4 linked regions of the Oryzias latipes genome follow. Each later gene encodes a partner of the first gene's protein in a complex. Links are inferred from orthologs where the notes say so. Each region holds a gene or a part of one and is shown in the gene's direction. Other genes may lie near its edges.

Evidence for each region. Proteins that work in one complex are often made in the same cells at the same time.
Region 2: the proteins of orc3 (region 1) and orc2 are in contact, whole or in part, in a cryo-EM structure (PDB 7JPO), measured with the Homo sapiens proteins. The link is inferred for Oryzias latipes from reciprocal best matches to the Homo sapiens genes ORC3 and ORC2. Residues at the interface, in NP_036513.2 of Homo sapiens: Thr3, Ser4, Ser5, Met6, Ser7, Lys8, Gly9, Cys10, Phe11, Val12, Phe13, Lys14, Pro15, Arg20, Ile22, Ile26, Tyr29, Phe30, Lys32, Tyr47, Val111, Thr112, Lys139, Asp318, Lys326, Gln329, Leu330, Leu333, Tyr337, Glu589; in NP_006181.1 of Homo sapiens: Leu239, Glu242, Tyr243, Ala246, His247, Asp268, Arg273, Leu276, Val279, Ser280, Phe283, Glu286, Leu287, Leu290, Lys296, Leu297, His299, Lys300, Met302, Leu303, Gln304, His306, Leu307, Phe309, Tyr314, Gly315, Leu316, Arg320, Glu324, Arg327.
Region 3: the proteins of orc3 (region 1) and orc5 are in contact, whole or in part, in a cryo-EM structure (PDB 7JPO), measured with the Homo sapiens proteins. The link is inferred for Oryzias latipes from reciprocal best matches to the Homo sapiens genes ORC3 and ORC5. Residues at the interface, in NP_036513.2 of Homo sapiens: Glu99, Val109, Met144, Lys145, Leu148, His178, Ser180, Met181, Asp182, Glu223, Asp232, Ile235, Ile236, Gln239, His240, Ala253, Thr254, Ser255, Pro256, Ile257, Ile258, Ile259, Arg261, His265, Ser269, Cys272, Ile273, Glu274, Leu275, Ser280; in NP_002544.1 of Homo sapiens: Asn62, Val64, Glu65, Phe67, Thr68, Arg70, Leu71, Gln75, Tyr129, Leu270, Arg271, Ser274, Ser275, Ser276, Gln277, Leu294, His297, Thr298, His299, Val300, Glu301, Leu302, Pro303, Tyr304, Tyr305, Ser306, Asp360, Tyr367, Arg373, Pro376.
Region 4: the proteins of orc3 (region 1) and orc4 are in contact, whole or in part, in a cryo-EM structure (PDB 7JPO), measured with the Homo sapiens proteins. The link is inferred for Oryzias latipes from reciprocal best matches to the Homo sapiens genes ORC3 and ORC4. Residues at the interface, in NP_036513.2 of Homo sapiens: Thr227, His260, Arg261, Leu262, Leu263, Pro264, His265, Ala266, Ser269; in NP_001177808.1 of Homo sapiens: Pro370, Lys374, Glu377, Gln381, Ser392, Gly393, Asn394, Ser395, Gln396, Arg397.

Annotation. Positions count from the first base shown.
Region 1 is NC_019880.2:10,107,396-10,111,558, reverse strand, and holds the start of orc3 (origin recognition complex subunit 3), read left to right. Parts: upstream 1-1,357; 5' UTR 1,358-1,480; coding exon 1,481-1,504; intron 1,505-1,610; coding exon 1,611-1,668; intron 1,669-1,748; coding exon 1,749-1,846; intron 1,847-3,704; coding exon 3,705-3,843; intron 3,844-3,934; coding exon 3,935-4,039; intron 4,040-4,136; coding exon 4,137-4,163. UniProt on the Homo sapiens protein: Component of the origin recognition complex (ORC) that binds origins of replication. DNA-binding is ATP-dependent. The specific DNA sequences that define origins of replication have not been identified yet.
Region 2 is NC_019875.2:17,274,118-17,278,221, reverse strand, and holds the start of orc2 (origin recognition complex subunit 2), read left to right. Parts: upstream 1-1,301; 5' UTR 1,302-1,442; coding exon 1,443-1,569; intron 1,570-1,644; coding exon 1,645-1,797; intron 1,798-4,104. UniProt on the Homo sapiens protein: Component of the origin recognition complex (ORC) that binds origins of replication. DNA-binding is ATP-dependent. The specific DNA sequences that define origins of replication have not been identified yet.
Region 3 is NC_019881.2:17,806,397-17,810,515, reverse strand, and holds the start of orc5 (origin recognition complex subunit 5), read left to right. Parts: upstream 1-1,316; 5' UTR 1,317-1,598; coding exon 1,599-1,712; intron 1,713-3,564; coding exon 3,565-3,657; intron 3,658-4,119. Other genes in the region: LHFPL tetraspan subfamily member 3 protein, read right to left, coding at 1-209. UniProt on the Homo sapiens protein: Component of the origin recognition complex (ORC) that binds origins of replication. DNA-binding is ATP-dependent. The specific DNA sequences that define origins of replication have not been identified yet.
Region 4 is NC_019860.2:3,473,671-3,477,971, reverse strand, and holds the start of orc4 (origin recognition complex subunit 4), read left to right. Parts: upstream 1-1,498; 5' UTR 1,499-1,626; exon of another isoform or gene 1,627-1,632; intron 1,633-1,716; exon of another isoform or gene 1,717-1,735; intron 1,736-2,286; 5' UTR 2,287-2,292; coding exon 2,293-2,349; intron 2,350-2,434; coding exon 2,435-2,511; intron 2,512-2,662; coding exon 2,663-2,753; intron 2,754-2,826; coding exon 2,827-2,902; intron 2,903-2,984; coding exon 2,985-3,070; intron 3,071-3,152; coding exon 3,153-3,201; intron 3,202-3,281; coding exon 3,282-3,433; intron 3,434-3,504; coding exon 3,505-3,678; intron 3,679-4,301. UniProt on the Homo sapiens protein: Component of the origin recognition complex (ORC) that binds origins of replication. DNA-binding is ATP-dependent. The specific DNA sequences that define origins of replication have not been identified yet.

The DNA of each region.
Region 1 (4,163 bases):
ATAATTTGAAAAAAGTAAATTTTAGGCAGTGAAACAAAATATCCTAATAAAACAACCAAATAATGATTGATACAGGAAGAAAATGAGTATCCAAAAATAACTTTTAAATTCTTTAATGTTTCTGCGTGTGTGGTGCTTTATATGTTTATGAAATGTTAAGGTGTCAATAGGTACGGTTTTCATCAATATCAAAAGGCACTCAGAAAATGCAGGAAACTGATAGGAAGAGGTCAAACAGACCCAAACTCACAACAATTTAATTGTGGCCATTAAAGGGGGTTTCCACTTACACAGTGAAAAATAGACTTGGAGGTATGAGATTGACAAAACAAGTTGCAGCAAGAAAGGCATTACGGAAACATCACAACAAAGCAAAAAGTCCTCACTGATTCAGGAAACACTGGACTACTGAAGACTGGAAGAAGCCTTCATAAATCGATAATCAAAAGTAAAAAATCTTTATTTCAAATTGTTTTTATGTGTTGTCAAAATGTGAAAGAACAGCTCCACTGTGTGGGACATCAATTGTGAAACACGGAGGAGGAAGTGTGATGGTATGGAGCTGTTTTGGGGTCAGTGATATAAATAGGGCAAGAGGCACCTTAAACCAACTCAGCCACCACAAGACTGCAGCGCTTGGGTGCTGAGTTGGTTAAGAGTTTGTACTACAACAAATGAATGACCTAAAACACAAATCCAAGCTTTGCCAGAACTACCTGAAGACAAAACAAGACGGTAAACTTGAAAACACGCAGGGGTCAGTCAGCACAGTCTCCAGATTGCTAGGAAGCTGGTTTGGGAGCAAAGAAGCTTACGAGCCCCAAAGAACTTGTGAAAATATCTATGAAAGAGCGTTCCTGAGGTAAGAAAAATGGTGATTTTGATTAAACTAAAGTAAATTTTGGTCTATAAATTAGTTTTGGGATTCCTTTTTTGTAGATCCAGCTGCTATCAAGACATTACACAGAATACATTTAAATAAAAAATATAAATAAGGTGCTCTAAATTTTTAGACCAATAGTGCTGTTTATAGATCTCTACAACAATTTTAAAAATAAAGTTTTTTCAAATACATTTTAAAATTATTTTATGATAAAGTATTTATTTTACTTTGCACAAATATGTTCTAAATATATTTTCAGTTCATCTCATTATAGGTGGATTACAATATTTTTGTTTTCAAATAATTTAATCCATTATTACTTTAAAAAGAAACTTATTTGACACTTAATAAGATTTTCTTTTTCTTAAGTTAAGATAAAAAAAGAAGTTTATTTTACTAAATAAGGCACTTAGAAGTGAACGTATTCTGGTTGGGCGGGGCGTTCAATTTTACTGCCGTTTCATTGGCTAAACTGTGACGTCACTTTGGCGGGAAAACGACGATTTTAGGAAGACATGCAGCCGGCATTTCACTAAACACTAGTTTACTGAATGCCTGGATCTTTGGAGGATCGGCGGCCTCCTCGATATCTCAGAGATGTCTACGTCATCTGTGTCAAAGGTGATATTTTCTGCTGCGCGCAGATCTACTTGAAGTCGTAACGAAAATAAAACAAGATGGCTGCGATATTTTTTTCTTTACCTGCTTCTGATTGTGCTGTCCGCAGGGATGCTTTGTTTTTAAGCCCAGTCCGAAGAAGAGGAAGAAGCAGGATGTCAGTCAGGGTGAGGAGTCTCAGTCAGTGTTTTATAATGGTTCCTAAGACTCTATGCTAACTTGTCTTTTCTTTTTTTTGTCCACACAGAAAGTTATTTTATTCATGACTGCGCGGGTCCGGAAAGCGGCCAGAGGCGATTCAAGCTCTGCCAGGATCTGTGGAAGCAGATCGAAACTGAAACTGAGGTAAGAAACGCTGAAGAGAGAATATAATTACTTTAAGTTTTAGTCGAAACCAAATTAGGTATCGACTTAGGTGCCTGATCAAAATTCAGTAAAATAAACAGGATTCTAACTTCTGAAATATAGTCAAATTCAATAGGCACTTTCTTTGTGATTTTATATTAATACGTATGAATTTGACAAATGATCTGCAATTGGACTGGTAAAGTAAAAATGACTCTTATTAAGTTTTGAACTAGAATATAATAAATATTTTTTTAAAAAGTCATGTAAATCATACTAGGGGTGGGATTATATAACTTTGCTTAATCACTCTAATTTTAAAGCAAAGATTTAAACCTTTTTTTCAGACAAACTTCACACTTAATGAATTTCATGTGTCATGTATTTTATCTATAAATACCAATGTGTATATTTTTGATTTGAGTAACTATAATAACATAATTTAGAACTACTTGTATTTTTTACTTTTCCAATCAAGTCACGATTAACTATCCAAAGTTTGATATACCCACGTATAGATATGCATCTCTTTGATTTTAATAATAAATAATCAAACAAAATCCGAGGTCTAAATAATAAATAATAAACAAATAGTTAAAATAACACAGAGAGGTGTAAAAACAAGAAATGTTATAGAAAATGACCATAAATATTTTTCAGTGAGGCAAAATAGTCCATAGGACACAATATATATGGCACTTGTATACATTTACAACAGTGTAGTGATGGTAGATGAGGCGTCATGTTGTATTTTGGCACATTCCTAAACCGTATTGATAATCTGTCAATACTGTGTCATTCGATGCAGACTCATGCTGGACTGAAAACATCACTGCAGGCTACCAAGTTAAAAAAACTAAACAGATATATACATAAACTAGTGTAAAAACAATATTTGTCTTTGTAGTTCCTCATTCCCATGTCTCGCTCTATAATGTCCCAGCATGAAGGAGGTAGTTTGGCAGTTCTGCTTTAACCTCCAAAACATAAAATGATTAAATAATAATTAAAAAAAGAGTCTGTTTGAAATGGATTGGTATTCTGCTAGATTCAGCATAAACTGAGAGGAACAGGGGGACCAAAAGCTAAAAACACTAGTAAAACTATGAAGAAATTCCACCAACCAAATAAAAACACAGCATTCAACACCGTTAGGGAAGATTTGGTAAAATGAAACATAATAAACCGGGAAACTGGACACGGATCAGGTGCATGAACTTTTTTTTCTTCTTTTTTCTTTTTCCTCTGCAATTTCTAAGTCAAAACCACCCAATTGGGTGGGAAACCGCAGAATCTGGCAACACTGCTGGTAGACGCGCTTCCTTGTTTGACTCCTGTGTGACACACACACACACACACACATACACACACACACACAGTGGCTGTGTTGGTCACGTGACTTCTCCTGAAGTGATGCGCGCACCAACAGAGGGTTTCTCTTTATGAGCTCGACACGTGAGCCGGCGCGTCGGTGTTGCCGGAACCATCACTACGCTTAAAAATAAATTCAAGTGAACCTTCTGGTCTTATTCTTCCTGAGTCACTTTTCTACTCCCAGCTTCACCTGACCTAAATCCTAAAGTCAGTGGGGAGGGGCTCCAAGCCTCAGGGCAATTGGAATAATGCAACAAAATCAATGAACAACCAAATGAAAAGAAAAACACCAACAAATAAATGATTTGATAACAACAAACTAGTAAATATGAATATCTACCTGTGTAAACAGGGATCCTAAGGTGGAGCAGTGGGCTTCTCCGTCTCTTCTCCCTGGAAGGCTTGGTGGAGTGTGCATTACTCCACCTTCACATATAACCTTCAGATACGTTTTTTGATGCTTTTTTTTAAATGTCATTTTAAGGTTTTGCAGGATGAACTCCATAGGAAAATCTTGGACAGCTTACTGGAGTTCAGCAGGAAGTGTTCCTCCGCTCGTTGTCACGGCGACTGGGCATCGCAGATGAGGGCCAGTGAAATTCCCACAGCTGCCCTCATGCTGGGTATGCGGCGTACATTCTTCAGGAACCAGCTAACCCGATAAAACCCCACTATTTTTGGCGCGGTTTGACGTTTCTTTGACCTGCTCTCCAGGTGTCAACGTTCCCGATCACGACCTGACCTTCAGCAGCCTCTCGGACCTACTCAGACAGTCTGTCACTCCTTATGTGGTCTCTCTGCAGGCCAAGGAATGTGGAGGTAAGAGCTGAATACTTTCATATACTTTCTCAGTGTATACAGTGACTCACCAAACTTTCAGTTACTGGTATATGGTTTTCCTGCTTGATTTTTGTAGCACTGAAGCATTTGTTGAAGAGGGTCC
Region 2 (4,104 bases), on another chromosome or scaffold:
AATAAAATTCAGTCATATAAAACTGGAAAAACATTAAAACTTTCAGAAAAGGACATCATTATGGGTTGTTATGATCAACGTTGACTGGAACATTGTTTTTTTATAAAACAATTGATTTGGTTTTTGGAGAATTTTCATATTCAAAAAAGGTCATAGTCAAATTAAAAATTTATTTAAAACACTTTTTGGTAAAATCCTCAAACAAATTAAAACAAAAAAGGCAATTTCGACTAAAGTAATTTCTGAATCTGTGCAAAACTGGGTGTGTTGTTGGATGTCAGACCTTTAATCATCTTATGTATGCTGATGACCTTGTCATTTTTAGCCCCTACAGTGCTGGGTTACAAACACTTTTAAAAGTTTGTTCTGACTATGGCAGAGATTTTGATATAAACTACAATCCCTCTAAAAGCAAAGTAATGATTGTAAGGACCAAAGACGACAGAAATGTAAACTTTCCTGTTTTTAAGCTTTGTGGAACGCCTCTGGAACAAACCTCATCTATCAAATACCTTGGACATTTCATTACTGATGATTGGAGGGATGATAGAGACATTCAGAGACAGTACTGTAAACTCTATGCTCAGGCAAACATGCTGATGAGAAAATTCAGTACGTGTTCTCTTCAAGTGAAATGTTCGCTGTTCAGAGCTTACTGCACTCCTCTGTATACGGCCCCTCTTTGGTGGAACTATGGACGTGGGACATACCGCAAATTCTTAGTGGCCTATAATGATGCTTTTAGGCTTCTGCTACAGGTGCCAAGGTGGTACAGAGCCAGTCAGCTATTTGTGGATGCTCACATCCCCACCAGTGAAGCACTACTGCGTAAGCTTACATACGGCCTTATGGAACGCCTAGACAAATCTAAGAACTCAATTATCATGTCTCTGACTGATCCCAAAAGAAGCTCATGCAGCTACACTTCTGCCCTGAGGAAACACTGGATACAGCGATTATACTCTTTTTAATTTATATATTTTTACTTTTTATTATGTATACTGTATTTGTATCTTTTTCTATGGACCACATCTGAGTCTGAAATAAACGTGTGTTTAAAAAGGCACATTTTCTTATAAACTTTAGTTCCTTCTTTTTGCTTTATTTCTATCTTTACAACGGCCACTCACACATTTCTTTTGTATGTTGTTAAAAAAAAAATAAGTGAAAAAAATTATATCGGAAACCTTTACAAAAGTTAGACTTTGAAGTGCATTCTGGGTAATGATTTTTTAAGTGTGTGGGCTGTGATTGGTCAGTACACGACCTTTCGCCTGTCACGTGGTTTAAACCTTCAGAAGGATGGCGCGGGAAGTTGTCAGCTCACCGTGGTATTTAGTTCAGTTTGCTAACGTTTCTCTGCAAGGTGCTTAGTTTTTACGAGCTTTTCCCACGCTGTCAGTGTGTTTTTTCATAAAGTTTTATATTTTTGGTCAACCTGTATGTATCGGTCTTCTCGGCGTCCAACCACGCAGTGTGTTGTGTTTGCCATTAGAGGACCGAGCGCGATGGAGGTGAAGTTTGTCGGGGATGAGGATGTTCTGGAGCACATCGTGGAGAAACATGACGGTAAAAGCTTTTAAGTCTTTCAACAAATCTGCGCAGACGCGGTGATCTTAAACTCCCTGTGTTTGGTCTGCGCAGGCGTGCTGGGCGGCGGAAAGTCTGTGCAGAGGATGGTGACGTTTAAGAGCCCCGCTGGACGTCGGGGGTGCCTGGAGGAGGAAGAACAGGAGGAAGATGAGGTCTTTGACGAGCAGAATTATATCCAGGCTTTGGGAGCAGATAATGCAACAGGTGAGGCGACAACAACTCTGTCATTTAGTCATTTTTTGCTTATTTACAACTTCAATAAACAAGTTAACCCTACTCCTGCCATGAAGAACTAAAGGTACATCACAGCTCTTTACATGCAGATGTTGACATACACAGGAATGGATACAGACTCTCGCTCTCTATTTTTTCCAATAAACTTTATTGTACATTTTTTTTTCAATTTACAGAAATTCACACAATTTGCACAATAAAGCAACAATTGTTAATATCAAACACACACATAAGACCAAAAAATAAACAATAATACTAATATTATTAATAACGTGTGCCTCTTTTTTCTTTTTTATAAATGCTCATATACAAACCAAGTTAGGGTGAACAATCGTTATAAATGTGCATATAGAAAAAACAAAACAAAATTTAAAAAAAGGCAATAATAATGGATTGGATTTATCTGCGCTTTTCAAGACACCCAAGGGCGCTTACATTATGTCCATTATTCATTCACTCCTCATTCATACTTGATGATGGTAAGCTACAGTTGCAGCCACAGCTGCCCTGGGGCAGACTGACAGAGGCGTGGCTGCCATTTCGCACCCCTCTGACCATCACCAGGATCATTCATGTGCATTCACACACCAGTGGAGCCACACTGGAGGCAAGGAGGGTGAAGTGTCTTGCCCAAGGACACAACAACATTTTTGGCTGGTGGGAGCGGGGATCGAACCGCCAACCCTTTGATCATTGGACGACCCGCCCAACCACCTGAGCCACTGTCGCCCCAAAATAACAATACTTTTGATATATTTTGAGAAATTACTGAAGTTTTCTTGTTTTTGTTTTGGAATGCATTTAAGACACTCATAATAATCAGAACAATAATTCAAAAAATACTAAACAAAGGGCATGTATTTTTCCATTTACATAAATGAATGAAATGTTTGCATAAAATAATAACAACATTAATGACATCAGAAATTCCCGGGTCCAGATTTTCCATATAGAAAAAACCATCAGATAAAGAAAAAAAGGGAATATTTAAAACTTTAAGTGACAACAAATTGTGAATATCAGTCCAAAATATTTGTATCTGGTTGAAACTGTAAAAGAGATGTTCCAACGTTTCAGTTTCAGATGAACAGAATAGCCATGGTTCCCATTGAAATTTGAATCTTTTATGTTAAAAATTTCCAACAGGGTAAATTTTTCAATATTATTTTTAAATGTGTTTCTTTCATTTTAGGTGGAAGTGGGAACTTTTTGTATTAAGAAAAAGATTTGTCCATTAGGGTGGTTTCTAAGTCGCATCTATTTTTTTTTACTAAAGTTGCAGAAAATGATTTGTTTAAAGGTTAGAGTTACTAATTTATTGTTGCATTTTTTATCTTTTATGGGAATATCATTAATTTTCAGCTGTGAAAATTGTGGTTGGATTGCATTGTATTGTAGTATGTTATGAATAAGATTAAGTAAAGGTATTGGAATTTCTTTACAGACTTTGTTATAACAGTTACTAGAATCCTTAATTTTGTATTTAGTTACAAACTCATTGTATGATAACAACATTCCATCAGTATGCATCAAGTCATGAACAAAACACACACCATAATCATACCATTCAGACATAAACAAGGATTTCTTGTTTACAGCTATAAATCTGTTGTTCCATAAAACAGTGTTGTGAGGGGAGAAGTTATGGGTGAAAAGCGTCTTCCCAAATTCTAAGTAAAAGTAAAAGTTTGATAGTTTCATTGGTATTTTTGATAGATTATAATCACATTTCATTGTATTAAATAAAGTGTATTAAAATGTATAAAGTGTATTAACATATTAATTACTGTTTTCTTCTTGTACAAGGTGTAATGTTTGTATATTATTAATAATGTTATTGTAGTTGTTGGGTTGAATTGTGCATAGCAAAAAATAATCTAGCAGGTTTAACTTATTGAAACAGTCAATTAGAGCAGTCTGAGAATCTTTAAAGTCCCTCTCTGGTCATCTTTTCAGCTATTTTCAAAACATCTTCTGATTATGACTATACCTTTTTAGCCTAAATAAAATAAAGGCTGTGTTGTTTTCTAGGACATAATTTCTGCTGAGCTGCAGTGGTTCATTAGAAATTCGCCTTTGAGTTGTGGGCGGGACCAATGGCCGTGGAATAAGCCCTACCCCACTTCCCATCATCCACCTGTTTACACGTTCGCTTGCTAGCTTACAGCCCTTCAAACCTCCTACCTAACAATACAGGTGCAACAAAAATGGAGAGTTATATCTGAGCTATCCAGCTGTAAAGTTTTAAGGTAGATGCCAGGTCGGATAAGGAAAATA
Region 3 (4,119 bases), on another chromosome or scaffold:
AAGTAGCCCGCCTGAGGCGTGTCTGCGCCGTCCCCGATCCAGTACGGCTGGATGAAGCACACCACGTTGACGATGGCGAAGAGGATGGTGAATATCGCCCAGAGGACGCCGATGGCCCGGGAATTACGCACGTAGTTGGTTTGGTAGATCTTGGCAGCCTCCGAGGCGGGAAGCATGGTGGTGGTCGCGCTGGGGGCCCCGGGGACCATCCTCCGGTGTATGTGAGGTAAGAGACTTAAGATTTGCACTCAGTAAACAAACCTCTTCCTCGTCAGGTAGTAATCTTCATCAGAACTAGCTAATTTTCCTGTTTTACGTGGATGCTTTACGCGTCTTCAATGCGCGCTCGCATCCTTGACTTGAGCCCTCTTTGCGCTTTCCTCCTTCATCAATCTACGGGAGAAAAAGAAAGACAATCTATTGAAATGCTTGAGAAATCCTCTCTGCAGAAGGCTTCCTCTGCCCGCTCCCCTGATGTCTCCTCCTGGTGTTTCTGCCTGAGACGATAACACCGCTCCAGCTGCCACGAGTGGCTGAGATGTGGCTGAAATGGTCTGTGTGCTCTCGACGGAGCAGCAGCCGCGGATGAGATCCTATTGAATTAGAGTCGGAAGATAGTTGCGGATATTACACAGGCAACTCACATCCCTTAATCCCATTCTGACGCATTATTCCGGTAACGCGCGTAAATCCCGAACAGACACATTGATATGAAAGCAAATGCGAAGACTAAATGCTTTTGATTTTTCTGCTCGTCAATCCAGTGCGCATGACTGATACGATCAGCATAAATACAAGTTCATAAAAAAACAAGGATGCGCTCTTCCTACATATACAATTTTAAATAGGTTCGTTTACAAAATTTCTGAATTGTAGTCTATTTTCAAAATATAAATGTTAGGTATTCCTAATTAGTTTAGTTTGGTTAAATTTAATTATCATATTTCTTAAAACAAACACACAAATAATCCTAAAAAGGTGAAAGGTTAGAGACAATAAAATAAGTTTTATTGGGTAATGGGTAAATCAGGAAGGTTATTTACAATACAGATTAGCCAAAATATGTATAATTACTCGTTTTAATAAAAAAAAAATCATTCTTAACAGCTCATACTAGATGCATACTCTCCAACGTTTTTAAAATTACACATCATAATTATGAGATATATATGAAATAAAGTATAATTATTTATTTCGTTTCTTTTTTTAAAATACTTTTTGATTTAAAAGATGTCTAAAGTTGTTTTTTATTTTATGTTTCGGATTTTTACTACATTACCCAGAGTTCCACAATACTTTTCTGATTGGATCATACGGAGGCGGAGTTTATGACGTAATCCAACGGCGCGCAAAGTGATCGCAGCCGGTTTCAAGTACATTTGCTCGTTTTTCCTCGATAAAAACGTAGTTTTTGAGGAGTGTTTTAAAGTTTTGTATCACGCGCTTTCTTCGACTTAACGACGTCAAGTTCACTTTTTTGCCGCTAACGCTGGCGACCGTCATCTTTATTTTCGTGAAAGTTAAGCTAATGTTTTGGTTTGTTTATTAGTTTAGCTCCTCGTGGCTTCAACTATAAAGTTAGAACCAAGAAAAGCAGAATGGCGGGACTGTTAGAGCATCCTGGATACGACGAGGAGAGGCTGAAGAGAGCCGCAGAGCAGCTGCCCTGCAGAGAAGTTCAGGCTGGGATGTTGCTGTCCCTTATGGGAGAGGTATGGGGCCGTTAACTCAAGGAAGGTCCACCTGATAACAAAATTCCCAAAGCAAAACAGTGTAATTATTAGTCAATGTATTTATAAAATAATAATAATAAAGTTTTTCATAAATTCTCATTCTCGTGTTAAAACACCAGTCGGAGTTGCTTTAATACCCACTCTGATTCATTAAAAATTGTTTGTAACATGTACTTGTGGCATTTTTCCAATGTTCTAAAAGTATTTCTTTATTAAAATTGTGATCCAGGACCAGACGAAAAGGCTCTGTTTGAAAAAGATCGTATATTTGTGATGTAGAAAACACACAAGCTCCCTGCTCAGCTCCATTCTGATGCACTTGTAAACAAATAGATCCATGTATGTCTTTGTTTTCTTCGCCCAAACTAGTGTCTGGCGCCCAAATGTACGGCTGGATATAGCTCCAATATTGCTCACCCTTTTTGTTGCACCAGTAATGTTAGTTTGGGTGTTTGAGAAAGATAGTGGGAGAGTGTAAACAGAGCTGTGGGCAGGGTTACTCTGTGCCAACAGTCTTTCCCACAATCAGACGTGAATTTATAATGAATTACTGCCGCTCTGCAGAAACTATGTCTTAGAAAATGTCAGAGGGTTTTTGATTTTAGCTAAAAAAGGGCATCATCATAATTAAAAGACCACTGGGAACACTTTGTAAATAAATCAAAAGATGAATATAGTAGGTTGTAATTTTTATTATTATTATTATTATTATTTAAAAGTGTGTTCATGAATAGGAATTTAGTCTTTGTGAGACGAGATAGATTAAAGAGACTTTGGACAGAAACGTAGTCGTATTGTTCTTGCTATTTTTAAATTCTTACTTAAAATATAGAGACACACCTTGCACAATTACAGACTACCGTATTTTCCGGAGTATAAGTCGCACCAGCCCAAAAATGCATTATAAAGTAGAAAAAAACACAGATAAGTCGCACTGGACTATAAGTCGCATTTTAACTTTCACAACCTTATATGACACAATCATAGCAGACTGTTTATCTAATAATTTCACAGTAATTTTTTCTCAAACTTATTTATTTATTCCTTTCATGAAGCATCATTGGCTAACTAATACTCTGTTTTCATCCTGTATTTGTAGAAACAGTTTTCACTTTTATTGCATTTCTGAATCTATGAAATCTTTGGAAAATAGAATATTATGTTGTTAGCCTTCAAGATCTAACTGTAAAAAAAAGTTTGCTGATTCTCTGAGTCACTGAACATACTCTTAACACTTAACACTTACACTTAACACTTACCTCATACATCAAATTGACCCAGGAACATCATCTCTGTTCCTCACAAATGAACATAACAGGAGGGTTAACAATGTATTTATTTCAATTTATTTCTAATATAAGTCGCTGCGGAGTATAAGTCGCACCCCTTGCCAAACTATGAAAAAAAGTGCGACTTATAGTCCGGAAAATACGGGTATTTAAAATAAATACAAGAACTAAAAATAAAAAGGGAAATTTGGTGAAACAGGTGAGATGGACTTTAAAAATATGGAGTCACATTAGGCTAATAATTTCATTAAATAATGGACACTGTACTGAAATATGATATTTCTCTAAGTGTTACTCAAATATGTATATTTTGTATGTAATGATCTTGTTTTTATACTATTTTAAGCTGCCTTACAATCATCTTGAGCGTCTTGATAAGCGCTTCAAATAAAATAAAGTAACCCTTTTATTCTTGGGCATTTAGGTGATGACTAATATAGTATTTAGAGCATTTTTCAATGTATTATGTTGTTTTTACCTAGTACTGGTGCAATGATCTAATATTATTGACAGTAACATTCGTGTTATTTTTCTCTTGACAGCCACACCAGTACTGCTACCCCTCAATCTTCATCTACGGTCATCGGGCTTCAGGAAAAAGCCATGTAATAAATGTTCTGATGAAGGAGCTGGAGGTGATGTCTGTTAAATCCGTGGTTGTTTTGGTTTAGATGTGGTTTCTCAGTGTTGTCTTTTGACAGCGTCAAAGAAAAGATGGATTCTGAAAGCTTTTTCTCCTTAGGGTTTCATCTTTTTCGAAGTTGAAAGGATAATGAAGGAATGACAACAACAAGAGAACACGGGGTTTCTTTCAATAAACACTGAAAGAGTGTTTAGTTAATTAAACATTGCGCTTTTTTCAAGTAAATAAGTGGATTCTGGTGATGTCAATTACATTTGTGGGTTACAAAAGTAAAACGTGAAAAAGATGTGTTTTTGCTAAAACCAAAGGATTATTTATCATTTACATTTAATCTGCAAAAGATAAAATCCACCCTCTAAAGTGTTGTCTTTGTTTGGGCAGTATGTTGTTGGGTTTTTAAAAAGTAGCAGCTGGGATTTTTGTGCCATGTGATGTTTTTTTTTTTTGTGCATCC
Region 4 (4,301 bases), on another chromosome or scaffold:
AAGAGTCCCTGGTTGGCCAAAGTTGGACCCACTTTAACTTGCAACATGCGTTCAAGTTTAGCATGTCCAGCACAAAAATGGTCGTAAAGACTTGCGTAGCTACACAGAAACCCGAAACGTGCATCGACACACATTTACGTAGAGTTTTTATCGGAAGTGGCCTCTTGAATGCAAATTGCCGAGGGAGGTGTGGCGAGTGTAAAAAAGAAAAAGAAAAGGCTAAACGTGATTTCTTGAACACGCGTTTAGTCCACAATGTTCACAATGGACTAGCGAGAAGGGGCTTCTGTTGACTAGCGCCTTACCACCACCTACAGTTGAAAGAGGCTTAGCGCGAAATGACGAATTGGTCATTTAGCCCATGGTTGTAGAAATTTGCGCATCTCTATGTAAATGGGAACGTTTTAAACTTGGAAGTCCGAAATACGTGTTTATACACTTTTATTTTTTTGGATGTGGTTACTTGAATGCAAGTTCTTAAACGTGCGTCTAGCCCACGGTTTTCACAATGGACAAGCAGGGAGGGATTCTTCCTCTACTTTTTTTTGTTCACTGTTTACTAGCGCATGTGCGCCATCTACAGTTGGTAGTGGGTTAGTGCAAAATGTTGAAGTGGTGCGAATCTTGGGAATTCTTTTTTGTTTTTTTTCTAGCACAGCTCTATTCCGGTATGAAAGACTTTTCAACATGTTAATTCTTCCATGAATCAAAAGGGACGCCGTTTGTTCATCACAACCAGATCCGAGGGCCCCGATTGGTCAAAGTTTGACCCGCTTTAAGACACATTCAATGAACATTTCGTTAGTCGAGCCCAAAAATGGCCATAAAAACTTGCCTATTTATGTTTTGAACTTGGAGGCCTGTCACATGCATTTACACCTGTTTACATAGACTTTTTATTGGAAGTGGTCATATGAACGTAGACTGGTAGCTCAGAAGAATTCTACGGAGCTCCTAAAGGGACATTAAAGAAGAAAAGCATTAAGGTAAAAATAAAAAAGGTGGCAAAAAAAGCTAACTGGTTTTCTTTGATTTTTGTTCTTTTTTGTTACTTTGTTTTTTTCCCTAGTCATTAACAACAAAATTAAAATATTTAAACAAAATAAAGTAAATTTTTATGTTTTATAAATCTGTGTTTACATCGAGATAATCTCTTTTATTTGCATCATAAAGAAAAAATGAAAAATAGACCCCCCAAAATTATTATTTTTTTCCCAAACTTTTTTCTTAGTTTGGTAATAAAACCAATTAAAAAAAAAAAGAAATTGCACATTTCCAATGAAAATGAATCAGTAAAAGTCATCATGGGATTTAGATTAAATGTAATTTAAAAACGGACACAGCACTGAGAAAACTCACAAACCATGCTTCTGTTTGAAACAACATTATAATATTATTATTTATCAATTATTTACATATTTTAATGCCGTTTCTGATGTTTTAAAGCGTTTTACTAACCTTTATTTTAAAGAAAAAATATACTCATCCGCTTTCAGTCAATCACGAGTTTTCTTCCAGCCAATCAGAGACCGGAGATTCAGCCCATGCCGGAAGTAGTCATCTCGTGTGTCGCAAAAGTCGCGGGAAGATTCCGGGGGGCTACTGTTTGGTGTTTTCTGGAGCCGCGTGAGTGTAAACAACTTTTGTTTACTAAATGCAACTTTTTGTGCTCAACTTCTCAACATTTCGTGATCACGTGGGGGTGTTTTTTTCTTCAACGTGATGTTTCTTTTAGGTTCATCTCCAGCAGGATCACCGAATAGCCGAACTTCCGTTTTAAATGTGGTTACATTAAAATAATGTTTTCCCACGACGTATTTCTTACGTCTAGAAACGGAATGCGCTGTTTATATTTGATAAATAAAACTTTATTTACAATTCGGCTGACATTATAACCTCAGCAAATTCACTTAAAGGCTTCATTTTGACGGTTTAACATGTTCAAAGCCCAATCATTGGAATCAAATCAAACTTTATTTATAAAGCCCTTTTCATACAACAGCAACGCAACATGTTTTACAGTATCTACCCGGCACTAGGAACATCGGACTTCCTGTTTACATTTCTTTAAATATAGAAATTCCTTTTTTTGGGCGGGGTTTATATGTCTACAAACACAAAAGACTTCATTCTTGATACATAAAACTTTATTTACAATTCGGCTTCCAATGTGACGTCAGGTGGGATACTTAAAGGGATCATTTTAACGTTTTAACTTGTTTACTTCAAAGTCTGATCATTTGATTTAAATCAAACTTTATTAACAAAGCACTTTTTTCTCGTCAGGCCATCATGAGTAAGAGGAAAGGGAAAATCTCCCATCAGCCCCTGGGAGAATGCATCACACAGGCTTGTATCCCTTCCTTAAACCTTGAGTTTGCGTGGTAGTGACTTGGAACTTAATGAATTTGTTTGTGTTTTTATGAATTTCTAGGTTCAACGGATCTTGAGGGAGCGATACTGCCAGCAAAAACTAGCCAAAGGACTCGATGGAGTTGGAGCTCAACACAAGTGGGTTTTTATTTTTATTTTAGCTATGTGTCTGATTAAAGCAAAGACGACCCGCAGCTCTGTGACCCAGTTCAGGCTGACGGCGCCGACCTAGTTTGGTGCCCCACCCCCCATCGTTTGTCAAAGCTCACTTGAAGCTCCGCCCATACAGGCACCTGGAGGAGCTGCTGAGGCGCACCGCTGTCTACGGGGAGAGCAACTCGGTGCTGATCGTCGGGCCGAGGGGAGCGGGGAAAAGCTCGGTGAGGAGGCGGCGAGGGAGGGGTGCTGAGGGTGGGCAGTGCTGGTTGTCTGACGGCGTCTGCGTTTGCGCAGCTGCTGAGGAGCGTTCTGCAGGAGCTGCTGGAGGAGAAGGAGGTGCAGGAAAACCTTCTGCAGGTCCACCTTAACGGTAATTGCGACTTTGTGTCCTCCAAATCTGCCTGCTCCTCTAGTAATTTAGTAATTTTCTTTGTTTTTGTTTTTTGTTCCAGGCCTCCTACAGACCGACGACAGAATTGCACTTAAAGAAATAACCAGGCAGCTCCACCTGGAGAACGTCGTTGGAGAGAAAGTTTTCGTATGTTTTTCTTTTTAGTTTGGCGGCCATTTTTGCCTTAAATCGGATCCAAAAATGTTTTCTTTTTTTTTCCCCGTTTCAGGGAAGCTTCGCTGAGAATTTGGCTTTCCTGCTGGAAGCTCTGAAGAAAGGTTGGACGGGTTAAATTTAAGTGGATGACGGTGAAATCCGGTCCTCTCCAGCACTCTGGTTGTGTTTGTGGTTCCGTCAGGTGATCGCACCAGCAGCCGCCCCGTGTTGTTCGTCCTGGACGAGTTCGACCTGTTCGCCCACCACAAGAACCAAACGCTGCTCTACAACCTGTTTGACGTGTCGCAGTCCACCCAGGCGCCCGTCGCCGTGGTGGGACTCACCTGCAGGCTGGTGGGTCTCTTTTTTTTTACTTTTTCGTCAGGGAAGAGTAGCACCCCTTTGACGTCTTCCTGTCTTCTCAGGATGTCCTGGAGCTGCTAGAGAAGCGGGTGAAGTCCAGGTTTTCTCACCGACAGATCCACCTGCTGAGCGGCTTGACGTTCAGTCAGTACCTGGACCGAGTCCGGGCCCAGCTCAGCCTCTCCGATGATTTCTGCGACAGCAGGTTCGCTCAGGAGTGGAACGCCAGTGTAAAGGTAAACCAAGTGAAATGTTTCACTAGGTGATCAAGAATCTAACAATGTGTCATTTGATATTGTGTAGCAGGCAACAATAGTCGTTGCTATGGAAACTTTTCACACATATTTTAGGATAGAGATATGAAACGTGTCGTACTTGTTTATCAGCCCAAAACATGAAAGAAAGAAAAAATCTATGGTTGCTATGGACTTGATTCCTCTAGGGAGCCTGTGGAAACATGATCTGGTAAAATTCACTGATTTAGTTTGTTTTTTTGTCTTGCTTAATTTTGAGTGAGGATAAGTGTTCAAGACATTTGGCAGAAAAACTTAATTGCACCAAAGACCTCTGGTCGGTGCAACTATTTTTGATCTTTAGTTATGCGATCAATGTAAATCGGCTGATTTTGACTCAGGGGAAAAAGTTGCATATTGGTGCAAACATCATTTGCAAAGCTGCTTTTTCTCCGCATCACAATCCGTTTCCCAATTCCGTTAATTATGTGTTAATTGTGCTATTTTCATGTCACCGGCGACAGCTCCCACGTTAAAGGGTTCATGCTCGTGTCGAGCTGAATGCAACATTGTCTGACAAGCTTAAGTATTGGTTGCTATGGAAAGCATTGATATTTATTTAAGGA